Linked DNA regions of Astyanax mexicanus. The protein of the gene in region 1 interacts with the protein of each later gene in a biochemical or structural test. Links are inferred from orthologs where the notes say so. Each region holds a gene or a part of one and is shown on either strand. Other genes may lie near its edges.

Evidence for each region. The genes of interacting proteins can lie anywhere in the genome.
Region 2: of the proteins of fbxl17 (region 1) and sufu, one has a biochemical effect on the other in vitro, tested with the Homo sapiens proteins (2 studies listed by BioGRID, with this or other methods). The link is inferred for Astyanax mexicanus from reciprocal best matches to the Homo sapiens genes FBXL17 and SUFU.

What each region holds. Positions count from the first base shown.
Region 1 is NC_064419.1:35,401,495-35,408,913, reverse strand, and holds the start of fbxl17 (F-box/LRR-repeat protein 17), read right to left. Parts: upstream 3,003-7,419; 5' UTR 2,834-3,002; intron 1,011-2,833; 5' UTR 991-1,010; coding exon 232-990; intron 1-231. Other genes in the region: prxl2c (peroxiredoxin-like 2C), read left to right, coding at 4,485-4,664, 5,541-5,609, 5,700-5,753, 5,846-5,951, 6,832-6,966, 7,071-7,198. UniProt on the Homo sapiens protein: Substrate-recognition component of the SCF(FBXL17) E3 ubiquitin ligase complex, a key component of a quality control pathway required to ensure functional dimerization of BTB domain-containing proteins (dimerization quality control, DQC).
Region 2 is NC_064414.1:23,140,406-23,147,446, reverse strand, and holds the start of sufu (suppressor of fused homolog), read right to left. Parts: upstream 3,005-7,041; 5' UTR 2,782-3,004; coding exon 2,636-2,781; intron 1,502-2,635; coding exon 1,367-1,501; intron 759-1,366; coding exon 622-758; intron 31-621; coding exon 1-30. UniProt on the Homo sapiens protein: Negative regulator in the hedgehog/smoothened signaling pathway. Down-regulates GLI1-mediated transactivation of target genes. Down-regulates GLI2-mediated transactivation of target genes. Part of a corepressor complex that acts on DNA-bound GLI1.

The DNA of each region.
Region 1 (7,419 bases):
ACACAGATTAGCTTCTTTTCACAGTTGTTTAAACACAAAACTTATGTTGTTTTAAATCATATTGGATACATTTTTATCTTTACACAAACTCATTATGGACATAATGGGAACTTTCAAGGCAATATACATTCATTTTTGTTGCTTTTCCTTTAACAGGCATTACCAGTATATCTGACCAATAGCACCATGTTGAACAGAGAGCATGCCCCCTATACCAATCAGTGCACATACCTTGAGCAGTATGGAGGATGGCAGGTGGTTAATGCGGGACGTATCTGTGCTCTCCGAGTTCTTGCCATCCTCTGACCCGTCGCTGTTAGAAAGTGGGCAGGAGAAGGAGGAGCTTTCTGGAGTGGCAGCACTACTGCTGGGACTTTCACCCGAGTCTGTTGCCTGCAGGCCCACGCCCGAGCTCTCTTCCTCTGAGGATGAGGCAGATGAGGAGGAAGAGGATGGAAGTGGGCAGAGTTGGGGCAGCAGGCGTTGGCCGGCTGAGGGAGGGGTATTCGTCTCCTCTGCCGCCTCCTCGTCCTGAGCAGCCTCGTGAAAAGCACAACGCGGCTGCTTGCAGGGAGCCGTGCATCGGCGTGGCTCGCCACTCTTGCGCTTGCAGACCATCTCGGAGTATTCCGTGGAGCAGCGGAACAACGGAGGGGCTCCGATCAGCTTGGCCGGCACGGCGGACAGCAAGCTCCTCCGGCCCTGGCCCTCCCAGCCAACGGCCAACTCCCCTGGAGACAGCAGGAACCTGGCACAGTCCTCAGGCGTGCTTAACGACACGTACCGTTCAGCAAGCTTGGAGGCAGCCACAGCCGCACCACCGGTGCTCTCGTAGGGGCACTCGTCCTCAAGACTTTCACTGGTGCTGCGGACGATGAAGCAGAGCATGCAGGGGCCCCGTAGGAAGCAGTTCCTCCTCTTCTTCTTCTTGCGCAGCTTCCGAGTTTTCTTCTTCAGGCAGTAACCATTTTTCGAGAGAAGATGGCCCATATAGATGACTCACGGTGACTCTGGTGACAAGAAGCAAAAGCAAAAGCATGAATGAATACAGTAGTTATGCTTATATATTGCCTCTCTAGAGCCCAAGGACGCTTTACAATCAACCCTCTACACAAGCCTTTACACTCGACACTCAATCAAGTGGCAAAAGAGAAGTGGCAATCAACTAATGAAACCTGAAACAACTCTCAACCAGGACTGCATCAAGCACTAAGGGCACAGACCCAGAATGGAATGCCAAACCTTATACAGACACAAGTTCACACAAATACACACTCGTACACACAAACCAGGGCAATTTAGATTCACCAATTCAAGATTTACTGAGAGCAATCAACCCACCCGTTCACCATGTTTTTGTACTGTAGGAGGCAACAAGAGGAAAACACTGAAACTTAACTCATAAAGGGAATTGAACCCAATACCCCAGTGCTGCAAGTTAAACATGATTAAAAACCACCAACAACCATTCCACCCAAACAGCTTCACTGTCACAGATTAATTGGCTGCCACATTATGAGACTTTATAATCCTATGATTTTATGGAATGGATTTTACCATTCAAACAACTATCGCAATCCTTCAAGCTGACCTCTGGATTCTCTCGCTTATGTAGCAACTGTTCTAATCGAGTTGGATTCTATTTTCAGTGGACAATGCATGAAGTGAGATGTGAGGGACAGTACAAGCAAAATACTCCAGCCATTTCTGAAGCATGCAGTTGGCCCCTGGCTTTATATTACTAATCAATTATCTTCAAATACAACTACCCATAACATCTCCTAGGTTCTGATGTATCTGGACACAATAATTAAAGTTGCACTAAAATAGCCTGTCAGACACATAAACAACCAGATAACCATGAAGTTATCTGACTCACACAACTATACAGGGAAGCACACCATTCTTTTACATCACCACCATAACAATAACAAACGGTGAGGCCTAAATTACAGCGATCTTCCCTGAAGCTAACAACTTTACTTCTGGCTAGATCACATAGTTTGTGAAGCTTTGGTCAGACTCAGGGAGGCGTCATTGGGGAATATGCTGTGATACTTGAATGAATTGCTTTAACAAGCATCTGAATTGTTCGGAAAACTAAAACATGAACTTTTTTTCTTTGCATTATTTAAGGTCTGAAAGCTCTGCATCTATTTTGTTATTTTAGCCATTTCAGTTATTCTCAGTCTCTGCAAATAAATGCTCTAAATGACAATATTTTTATTTGGTGTTTGGAAGAAATGTTTTCCATAGTTTATAGAATAAAACAACAATGTTCATTTTACTCAAACATTTACCTTTAAATAGCAAAATCAGATCAATTGATTCAGAAACTGAAGTGGTCTCTTAATTTTTCCAGAGCTGTACATGTTTAATATCACAATATTTTTTAGCCCTGGACTGTTGGCTGTCAACAATTGTAACTAAGTTAAATAACTAACTAACTAAGAGTTCAGAGAAGCTCAACCCCTGCTATGCTAGGTTAACCTTACTAACCTAACAGCTAGGTTAGATAAATTCCTTTAATTAAAAGACTATACACTGGGGGAAACCTGGACAGCTAACCTTAACTAGCTAAGTAAAGCCCTGGGTGGTCTGTAAGTCTAGCCCAGTGTTTATCAACAGGTTGGAGTTTTTGCTCCATGGCGGTGTTACTGCTGTTGCTCGTGTTGTTGTTGTTTTAGCTAAGACTGGGGAACATCCCTGAAGCGCTGTCTCGTTGCTATGATAGCGGGGGAGCTGCTAGGTTAGCTAGCTAAGTGTGCTAATCAACATCCCCGACTCCTGCAATCCTGGAATCCTGTCCGCAAAACCAGCGGGGTCTCCTCACCAGCAGTCCGCGCGGCGTGACCCGCCCCTGTCCCGCGCTCTCATAATCCGGGCAGAAGCAGGTTAGTGCTGGGAGGCAGAGAGCCGAGCCGGAGCCATAAACCAGCCTGCAGGCAGAGGCAACTTGCTTAGCTACTTCAGTCTCTTTACAGTTTGAAAACACATCCGGGAATCTCTGCTACTATAAAGGAAGTCCCGCCCCGTGCCGTTCGCGTGAATCATTTTTTAAACCGGCTCTTTTCAACAAGTCGTTTGAGTCGATTCAACTGAATGACTCATTTAACTGCTGTTCGTTTTATTGTTATTTTTTGTTGAAACAAATTTATTTCCAATTTGCATCGTTATGCTCCTCACATTTTAACACATTTAACCGCTTTGTTAAAGACAATTCTACCAAATTACAAATTATGAATCAACAAGTCGTTCGAGTCGATTCAACTGAATGACTCATTCAACTGCTGCTCGTTTTGTGGTTATTTTATGCTGATTCAGCGTAAATCTATTTAATTTCCAATTTGCACCATTATGTTCACATTTAACCGCGAGTGTTAAATGCAAATTAATTTAGTGTAAACCAAATTCATTTGCGAGACTAACCATTAAGCTCCATCCACTTACATTTAACCCATTTGGTTCAGGTTTTAGAGTGTAAACAGTTACTTTATGTAATGTAAATAAATAAGTAATATTATCTAAATAAACAAAATTACAAGATAATACAAATTAATTTAAATCTAAAAACAATAATATTAGAGAATATTAAAGCAAATAAATACTAAAAAAAAACGTAGCAAGGTACTCAAAGCTGAACATTACCCACTATTACCAATCTGTTTGGACATTTGATCTTAAAAACACAACAGTAAAACAAGAAGAATATGACCATACCCCCAGGCATGGTGAAGAATTGGTGCCAAATTAAAAAGCAATTACAGCAAATTGAAGTAAAAAGATCTGTTATTTGAAATTGTATGGTGATAAAATGTAAAATGCTAATTCAAAAGACAGAACAAACTTCAGCGTTTGTTCAACCATTTAATATTAAAGTTGTTTCAACGCTGTTTCAACATTTTAACCACATTTCAATGTTAAGGGCGATTGTGTGTCAGTTGGTCAGGCATTCTCAGTTGATTTGTGAGAATTCGGTTAATTGAATCAGTTCATTCGAAAGAGTCGGTTCTGTACAATGAATCAAACAACCCCTCGCTGGTTGTGATTGGCTGGGCTTCGCGTCACTGTGTAGTGTTCTCGGATTGGCCAGTAAGGGCGCTACAGTCCTGATAGTGGAGTCTCTGAACTGTGAGCGGTGAATAACTGTAACACACATCACAACTCTATAATAACTAGTTTAATCATCAGAAACACATAAGTAACGTTTTTTTTTGTTATCGCGCTTGCTGTAATAAATAGAGATAATCTGAAACTCGGTCTAGAGTGTCTGAATGCAATCTAACCGTGATATTTTATTACATGCCCTTTATGTGGAGGAGGAGAACTTTCTGCAGGTCTCAGAACTGAAAGCTCTGTTCAGCACAAGCCTCAGCAGGGCTGGGCGTGCTGAGTCCCTTCATCCGTCAAGAAAACGCCAAAAATAGCCCGGGCCTGGCGGTTTACCCTCCGGAAAAACACACTGCACACACAGCAGCGGAGCAATGGCTGCCGTTTTCCCAATAACCCAGCAGATCTCCAGTTCAGCCCCGCAGAGCAGCCGAGCCGCGGCCCAGCTCAGTGTCAGCGAGGCGGAGGACTGTCTGATATATGACCGGCACGGAGCTCCGGCTCCTTTTAGGAGTTTATTCCAGAGCAGCAGAGCTATCATCATTTTTGTAAGAGTAAGAGAGCGTTTCCTCTGTTTCTCCTAATACGAAAAATAAACTATCTACATGTTTTAAAGTTAAAATTCTACTGAATTTGGCTGAAGTTGGTTTGATAGGTTCTAGAATATGAAGAATAGGCTGTTTGTACTTGTTTTAAAGTTTAAATTGTATTTAAACTTAGACCAGCTAATAAAACCATGTTTATATAGCAGAGCTCTGAGAAACTGGTGGGCCCTGTTTAGACCTGTGGTCCCTTCAGGTTCCAAAGTTTCTGGATTGTATTTTGTATTTTGTAGTTTAATCACATGCATTTACAACTGAGAGTTTAATGTGGTTAATCAGTTTACATCTGATTCACACACACACACACACACACACACACACACACACACACACACACACACACTAGGAAAAATAGTAAGTACAGAGTACAAAGCTTTCCTCTGGGGCTGTACTTTATATTGAGCTACAACACCAGTAAATATTATCATATATATTATCATCCACTGAAAATGTGTCAAGAACTAGATGATTCAGAATTTTCTGACTTTCAAAAAAAAAAAGTATAATTAAAACATACATCTCTGGAAAAAATTAAAAGACCACTTCAGTTTCTGCATCAGTTTCTCTGATTTTGCTATTAATAGTTATATGTTTGACTAAAATGAGTATTGTTGTTTTATTCTATACGGACAACCCCCGGTATGTTCTCCTCCACCAGTCTTACACACTTCTTTTGGATAACTTTATGCCAATCCTGGTGCAAAAATTCAAGCAGTTCAGCTTGGTAGCTTGGTTTGATGGCTTGTGATCAGTGAGTGTTTTTTTTTTTTTTTTTATGAAAACAACAGTATCAAACCATACCAAAATTGTGTTTTGGGTTTCTGACAGAATTTCTTGTGCTTCGCATGTAAAGAATATGTTGAAGATCTAAGCAAGATATCACAGAAGGCATTACTGGTGAGTACAAATACAACACTAATGATCAGTAATGATAATTTGCAGAGTTTGCAGTTGAATGAGAATAATTTGTCTGTGTTGCTGATGCAGGATGCTGGCGTCCGGTTGGTTGTCATTGGCCAGGCCTCTTGTTCTCATATAGAGGTGAGACAGTTATAGAGCAGTTTGATCTATTTCAGACCTTGTGCTGTACATAATGAAATGTCAAGCTGCAATATTTATTCCCTGTCCTGTAGGCATTCTGCTCTCTGACAGGATATCAGCATGAAATATATGTTGATCCAGAAAGACAAATCTATAAAAAACTTGGCATGAAAAGAGGAGAGACGTTTATGGAAACAGGTAAAAACCTGCCAACTGTCATTGACTGGAATAATCCCAGAAAACAGATTTAGTTTTAAATGGATATTTCAGTTTGAGTTTATGTACAGTGTAAATCCAGATTTTAATATGGTATTATTTAAGACTAATATTTGTGCCAATTCTATCACATTATTAAATTAGATAAATTTGGCAAAATTCACAACATAAATGGATTATAATGAAAAATACCAAGTTTTTAAAATTCAGTTAATGGACAAGTTGGAGTAGAAGTCATGGGACAGTAGTATGTAAACTGGCCATAAAATGTTACCTCAGGGGATTGCTTAAGAATACCAGTATAGGTTGTGAGATGCTGTTTTGTGAGCAGAGTTGGAGTTTGATTGATGGGGAATACCAGATAAATTGGACGTAACATTTCTGAAGTTGTGCAGGCATTTAAAGTTTCTTGATTCACGGTGTCATGTGTGTACCAGCAATACATCATTGGAGGCATTACCACCTATAGTGGACAGTGCAGTGGGTTGTAATGATCATGACCGGCAGCATCTGGCTAGAATTGTCTGTGTAAACAGAAAAATGACTCTGAAATTACATCCACATTTAATGCAGAAAGCCCACACGCGTAATCGGCAAGTCAGTACAGCATTTGTTAGCTTCCAGTGGACAGGATACAAGGTCCTGTCCCATGAAATGTGTCGTGTCTTTACATTAACACAGTGTTAGAATTGAATATTATAACTGAGTTTCTGTTATATTATAATTGTTTGACAATCCAACATCACTGCAGTGAAATTGATGCTTGTGTTCATATAACTGTGTTGAAGAGAAATTAATGCTAGGTTTAAGTAATTATGGCACATTGCATGTAATAAGGATGAATTCCTGTTCGTGTCCCCAGCCTCCAAGAGTCCACATGTCAAATCCAGTATGCTTGTTGGCAGTTTGAAGAGCATGTGGCGTGCCATGACCAGCCCTGTGTTTGATTTCCAAGGAGATCCTCTCCAGCAAGGAGGAGCTATCGTTGTTGGTCCAGGTGCCTAATTTAAGAAGGCACTTCAAGATGTACTCTTTATCATTGTTCTCGTAATGTAATAGTGTATTAACTGTAATAATTGTTCTGTTCTCTTATGTTTGCAGGTTCTGATGTTCATTTTGCACATTTTGACATGAATCGATTTGATCAAGCACCCATCAACCAATTACTAGAGCTGGCTGGAATGCAGATGGTGGACTTTAACAGACATCCCAAAGTTATTGACATCTAAGAAAAGACATGATTGTGAAAAGACTAGGAATCACAAATTTATTTAAACAATTAACCCATAGCTTAAGCTATTCAGTTATCATGTATTACCAGTATTTTATTCACACCTCAACGACAACTCAACCCAGTTGAGTTCAGTAAATTAATTTTGACATTTTGTTTAAGTTCATGCAATACAAAGTATATTCATTGCAGACTGAAGAGTGCTTAAACTGAAACATG
Region 2 (7,041 bases), on another chromosome or scaffold:
AGATGTGATCACCACTGCAGAATGTGTTTTCTGTTACACAAAGGGATAGTTTTTTAAAGTTAGATAGTATTTAGACATTATCCTAAAAAGAAAACATTCTCAATAGTAGTAAATATATAAAATACGTACACTGCCTTATCATGGTACAAAAACTAATGGATATAATACTGTGTAGATTGCCATTAAGGATAAATATACTGTTTGCTAATAAACTAGGGCACAATGTGACAGACTAGGAGCATTAATGTGTCTGTCTATCTTAGAAAACACAATCCCACCATATTTTCTGTTTATAACTTTAATACCAAACAGCCAAATGTGTGAACGTGAAAATGACGGTCATAAAATGTATTCTATGTCTAACTTCCCAGCTACAACAGCATGTTTTTATGACACATGATGATACAGAAAGGTGCAGAAAATCCTAACTACAACCCTACCAGTCTTGTTTTGGAGTTGTCAGGACAATAGTTCACTATTTACACTACATACAATTTTTTGTTTGTTTTAATGAAATACATTTGAAATCGTATGACCATTTTGGTATTGCTTTGCAAAATACTATAATGACTCGAGTCCCATATATTTAAAGTCCATTCAGATAAGGAAAAAGCTTAGTACCTGATTGGAAGACGTATCGGGATAAACCCTGCATAAGTTCAGCAGGCCAGGTGGGGGGTGCAGTCTCCCCAGCCTCTCTCTTCAGACGAAATGTTAGTTCAAAACCAAAACCACTTGGCCCTTCCTGACCAGTGAATCTATGAAAATGAAAACAGTTGAGATTGACAGAACTTTCAATTTAAAAGGCTCCTTACTTTGGCAGTAAGTGTTTATATACTAGGTAAATAATTAATATTTGAAGAAAAAAAAAACCACACAAAAACAAAACAACATGATGTAAAAAGGCAATACATCACAGTTTTTCTAACAGCATTTCCAATTTTTTTCTTATTGGTATTCAGTATTATTAATAGTTACCTTTCAACATCTGGTTCATTAAATAATTGCTTAATGGAGTTAAATCAGGTGAGCTGAATTAACCATATGGGGTGTGAGAAATTGGAACATAGCTTTGTTATTTAACTAGATCACATGATATCAACTACTTTCTAAAAAAAACTTATTGTAATTATTATTTTTATCTGCATCTGACTAATATCTACATTTTTTTCCCAAAACAATGATGTGATAAATGGTCGTAAAAAACAAAAAGTGTTTAAATACCTAAAACGAATAAATAAACGATAAATATAAAAATATAAATATACATTTATATATAAACATGTCTGAAAACACATTTTGGAAAAAAAATGCAAAATGGCAACTCAATTTCCAAACAAAGCAGTACTCCTATTCTAACACTTACTCGTGAACTCTGTTGTCTCCATACAGATCACTCAGGCCAAGGCTAACGTAGTGCCAATGTTCCTGTACGTCCAAGGCAGGGCATCCCATGTTTCTGTACATGCTAATGTAGTCCAGGGGATCTGGCCCCCCTAACCTGTGTTAAAACAACACAACAGGGGAACACAAACAAAGCTAAGCAAACGGCCATGAGGAAGAAAGAGAACAGCTAAGCCGTTTGCTGCGATTGTAATGTTATGTAGCCAGCCAGCTAAAGTTAGCGAAATGTGTTTCGAATATATGAAGCTCCTGAAATAAGATAGCTAAACCAACTAGTTAGTTAGATAGCTTAGCTATCAAGGTAAAAAAAATGAATTTACACACAAAAACCCTTCCCCCAATTCAATAAAATAACATAACTCTCAATTAAATAAACCGTTCCCTCAATTTTAAACACTCCATAATTAAACATATAACAATGTTACAAGGTATATAACTTTCACTATTTTCTACCATGATAACCAAGCAACTTTAGAAGTTCCTGTGCAAGAAAAGTTTTCTGTAACCTTATTTGTTACTTATTTGTTATTTGTTACCTCCTAAAGTGACCTTTATACAGCCAGCTATCTTGCTAGTTAGCTAAACTATCTGTTAACTAGTTAGGTTAGCTAGCTAAGCTAAATGTCTGAACAATTATTCCACAGTAAACTTATTTAGCCAGCTAGCTGGGGTAAATAGGTTTCCCTACAAAGTGTTGCCCTCGAGCAATACACCAAAATTTGGGTTACTACACCAGACCATACCCTATTATTTATGTTTTTTATATATATATATATATATATAAAAGGCAACTGCACCTCCAAGTGCAATCTCCAATATTCTTGTTCTATATTCTTGTTGTAAACTTACTAAAACAGTGGTTTTTCATTCTGTTAAAACACCCCTGCATGCTTTGGGTGCTTCCTTACATTTACGCATCTGATTTAAATTATCTGTATGTTATCAAAAGTCAAAACGCGCATTTAATAATATTTGATATATTCACAGGGAATCCCAGACTTTCAAAAAATCCTCCCGAAAAATAAAATTTAACGTTAAGCCATAGAAAGCTAACCTAGCTAAAGTTAGTTTGCTAAGCAAGCTAAGAATGTAGCAACTAACTTTAGCTTGCTACATCGAAATATTGAACTTTAAACAAAGTTTACTTCACTTTTCTTCTGAACTGTGGTTCTCGTAATTGATTAATAACGTTTTTCTCCAGAGAACAGCCGTGCATTTATGAAATGCTTACCAGTATTTTACGATGGCGGTGACCTGCAGCGGGTTTGGTTGGTCGGGGTAGTGGCGCCTGCACTCCCCGTAGATGGCCTGCAGCCCTGGGGGAAAGATCGACGCGAGGCCGAGGTGCGCGCCGCTGCTAGGCCGCATTTCATCCATCCTTAATCTCGACTCTCGCAGTGTCACAAATGCGCCTGTCTTCACAGAACTGGGGAAACTTTGAAGCTTTCTCCGGAGTAATATTAAAACCCGAATTAATGTGTTCTCATTCGAAATATCTAATTTAGTAGTTTTTTCTCACCCGTTATTGTCTTTTAAAACCCACTCGGTCCGTTTCCCTCAGGGTTTCAGGAGTCGGCGGGGGCGGAGCCTCGTACTTTGATTGGCGTGTGTGGTGTCCAATCAGAATCAGCTGAGGAGAAGTACGGCACTGTGATTGGAAGGCGGATTTGGAAGTTGGTGTCCTTCTGATGTTTCAATAACTTTTTATTTTAGTAAATAGCTAAGTAAACATATTCAGAAAATAATCACAGCGTCCAGTAACGTCATAATTTCGTGATAATGCAAGGACTATACAAAGTTGCTCCTAACTCAGTGTCTGTAAATGTATTAATGTATCAGTAATACATATTCAAATGTATTTGTTTACTGTAGGTACTCATACTAATTTTGTGGCAGTGTGTTCATAGCTGTGTATGTACCCCAACCAAGTTTAACTATACATTAAACATTTTCTTTGGACTCAACATTTAGACATCAGTACAGTTTAAAACATGTGGGAGAAAGAGGCGCCACCTACTGTTCATATATATGCAACGTGTGGAGTATGTACATAGATAGGCTGGGTATTTATTGCTGTATGATTGATGGAGTAACACATAGGTTGGATTCTTGTTGATAAATACTCATGACTGCTAAAGGAATGGATATACAGGTGATAAACAGATAGATCTACGTGCTTACAGTTTGTTTACCTGCTGTTTAGATACAGAACATCTCTGTGAGCTTTTAACTGGTGACAGAGCTCCTTTACAGGCAATCCAGGGCTGCAAATTCCATATAAATATGTACCATTTGTACTTTTATGGTTTCTGTATTATTTTTATTATGAAGTAATAAAAATCATTAGGAAAAGGTTTTTGAAACGTATTATGCAAGCCTTTCCAGCCTGTATGCATCCTATCCTTTTATTTTTTGTTACGAACATAACTGAATTACTTTTTTTATTCATATCTAGTTAAATAAGGCTTACTTTCTTATTCAAAAGTAATACTTATTGTATAAAAAACTAAACATACATTAATTTACTAATACATAATTTATTTAAAGTCTTTGTGCATTTCTCTTACAGTGTATTCCAAACTTGCTAGGTTAGATTAGATTTGCGAGCAGTTCGATTTTAAACTTCCACCATCCATTTATGGACCATTACCTTGTACATGTACCATGTTTTTGGGTACTCAACAGTCGGACCTTCTTCCCACTTACAGTCCTCCAGCACTGACCATCCTAATGGAGAACATCACAGGCCCTCAGGATAAAATCCTGTAATTCCACCATTGCTATGGATCTACCCCAGCTCTTTTTAGAGACTCAGTTGTACTGGTATTACCCTCATCCATACACAGGTTCTCTCACAAACGTGTCTGTGAAAAGGACCCCTCAAGGTAGCTGTTCTTGAGCCTCAGGAAGAAACATGGCCAGAGGGCTTCACTGTGAAAGGTGAGCTACGCTGGGGGAGGCTGGAGAGAGTGTTTAGGATCAGCTGGGAGCTTCCAGACTTTGTGAAAGTATGCTTGCTGCAGGTGTATGGTACTTATCCCAGCATTGTTGTGAGCTTCAGGGGGTGTTGGTTCATAATGTTGAGAGCCCACAAAATGGAGTGGAAAGTGTTAGGGAAATTGTCAAGAAGGAAAAGAAGAAAATAAAGCCAGAATTTTTATTTGCTGACTTTATGTAGTTTGTTATCATGTGAAATATTTAGCTTTTTTAAAGTTTCATTGAAATAGCTAATAGCTAATAGTGATTTGTGGCCAAGTTTGTTGCATCATTAATGTTGAACTCTATGAACTTGTGTTTACAATTGGCCTTGCTGTTTTTCCTTGGAAAACCTTGAAAGTAAATGGAATCTAAAATGAAACGGTACAAAATTCTTTGGTGTTAAAATAAATATTTTGATTAAATGCAAGCTAATTTATAATAAATATACTGTGAAACACTTTAAAATTATTCATGACGATACTAAAAATGGTTATTTGGTTGTTGTAATGGAAGAATCACTGTTAGATTCATAAAGAATTATTTTTGTAATAGAGATTTGTGCTATGTTGAAAGCCATTTTAAATTTAAAGAATCTTTATTTGATGTATACGTTCCTGACACTTCCAGATCTTTTACAAATACGGTTCTGTATAAAAACAAAGGTGTTTTTTTTGACATCTTGACTAATCCTTTGTAGCACCTTTGTTTTTAAAAAAGAGTGTACTGTAGTTTTTACAGGATGTCAATAGTATGTTTTTCATTGAAGTCAAACCTCCACATTTGTATGTTTTAGTGCTAAACGTAATGTAAAAATTTACCTATTTCACAATTTGTTATACAGTATTTTATCTAGGATGACTTAACAGATTGTAAGCAACAGCTGTGGGCGGTGAGCGTTCTTGGTATGGTGTCCATGACTTCCAGTTTCCATGGAATGATCCTGAGTCATTTACCAGGAGCAAGAGATAAGACATATTTGTGGTCAATGTGTGGGCGGACATGTAACGTTTGCATACTTTAGCTCACATTTCATTATTGTGCATCAGCATATGTGTATACATACATGGACTTTGTGTCAACAATGTATGTCTATGTGATGCCACTCATCAAGCATCTAAAGATCATGCCTTCGTATAAGAGTAATGACGCCATGTGGCTCACTGTGTTAAAGTTATTTAGGTGCCTTCTCTTTAAATTAGGACAGAGTGACTGACTAAGAGGTGTGATGTAAGACAAGGAAGTTAAAAAATATAATTTGCGTGGATTTCTAAGACCATTTGACTAGCACACCCACTCATAGTCCCACTCATAAATGCAAAGTGTGTATCTCACATTAGTGCAGTGTCTGTAAAAGCTTGTGTAAAGAAATGAACCAAACAGAAATGAACAACTTTAACTTTGTAAAATGTATTAATTTCATATTTACAAGCATTTTATAAGACATGTTTCATACAAAGGTTGTCTCAAAAATACATAGCATTTCTCCTGTATGAAAAATGGGATCTTCTCAAGCATCTTTTTTCGTGATACAAATCCTATGAAAGTCCATCTTGTAGAGAGTTCGGCCAGGTTTATGGAGATATGGAACACTCTGCCAGAAGAACTGAGCCCATAGATGAGCTCCTCCTGACCACCATCTATGGAATTCAGTTCTCAGGGCCAAGTGCTCAGAGGAACCGGAGACAAACTAGAGGTCTAGAAGAAACTAGTCTCATAACTTTGAAAGGGAACATAATCACTTAGTATCCAAACAATGTAACAATGTTATAAAACTGTACATCATAAGGATGTTTGATATTTAATAGAAAACATTTATGAAACTAATGAAACATTTTGTTCCTATGGTTTTTATATTACAAAACAAACAGAAGATTAATGCTTTTTTTCTTCATTATATATATTTTTAAACTAAGCAAAGATCTTAGGGAGGGAAGTTCTCTTTTATGGAAGAGTTTCAGAGAGTCATCACTGAAATCACATTTTCACAGATGAAATCTGACACAGCAGTAGCTCAACAGTTTTACGATTTCAAGTGTGTTTATCCCGCAACAGATACTTCATCGTCCTATGAAATTCCACTGACAAAACAAGTGACATGACGTCTATTTTCTCAATGCTATCTCAATCAGGTGTTTGTTTAATGTTTGATCATTACTGAATTCTTGACACAGGTACAATGCACTTCATGTCCTCAGCCGAATTCAAGCCACACCTGAAGAGTTTCAGGAAATTCTTTCTTTCCGTTAAATGGAACTGAACCAGTTGAACTGCCTTTAAAGTGTACTGCTGGAAACCCCCATGGAAGTCCAAACAAGATCCATTATCTACTATGAGACTGGATGATCACACACAGCAGGCCATATCACTCCTTACTTACAAATGATCAAATGCTGCCGGTTTTACTGATGATACCAGTTTAAATAAAGGTACATATCAAAGTTTTAAAACATTCTATAAAATAATTATGTTTTACTCTTAACCTTTACTTACACAAAATACCAAAATTAATTGTTTATTTAACAATTATTTGTCTTTAAATCAGGGCTATTTTAAGAAATTGATACTTACCTGTGAGACAAACTCTTCCTAGTTTGCCAGTATAAATGTTCTATATAATTCTCCTCTTTGGAAAAATGCTCCTGCTTCAATATCCACTAC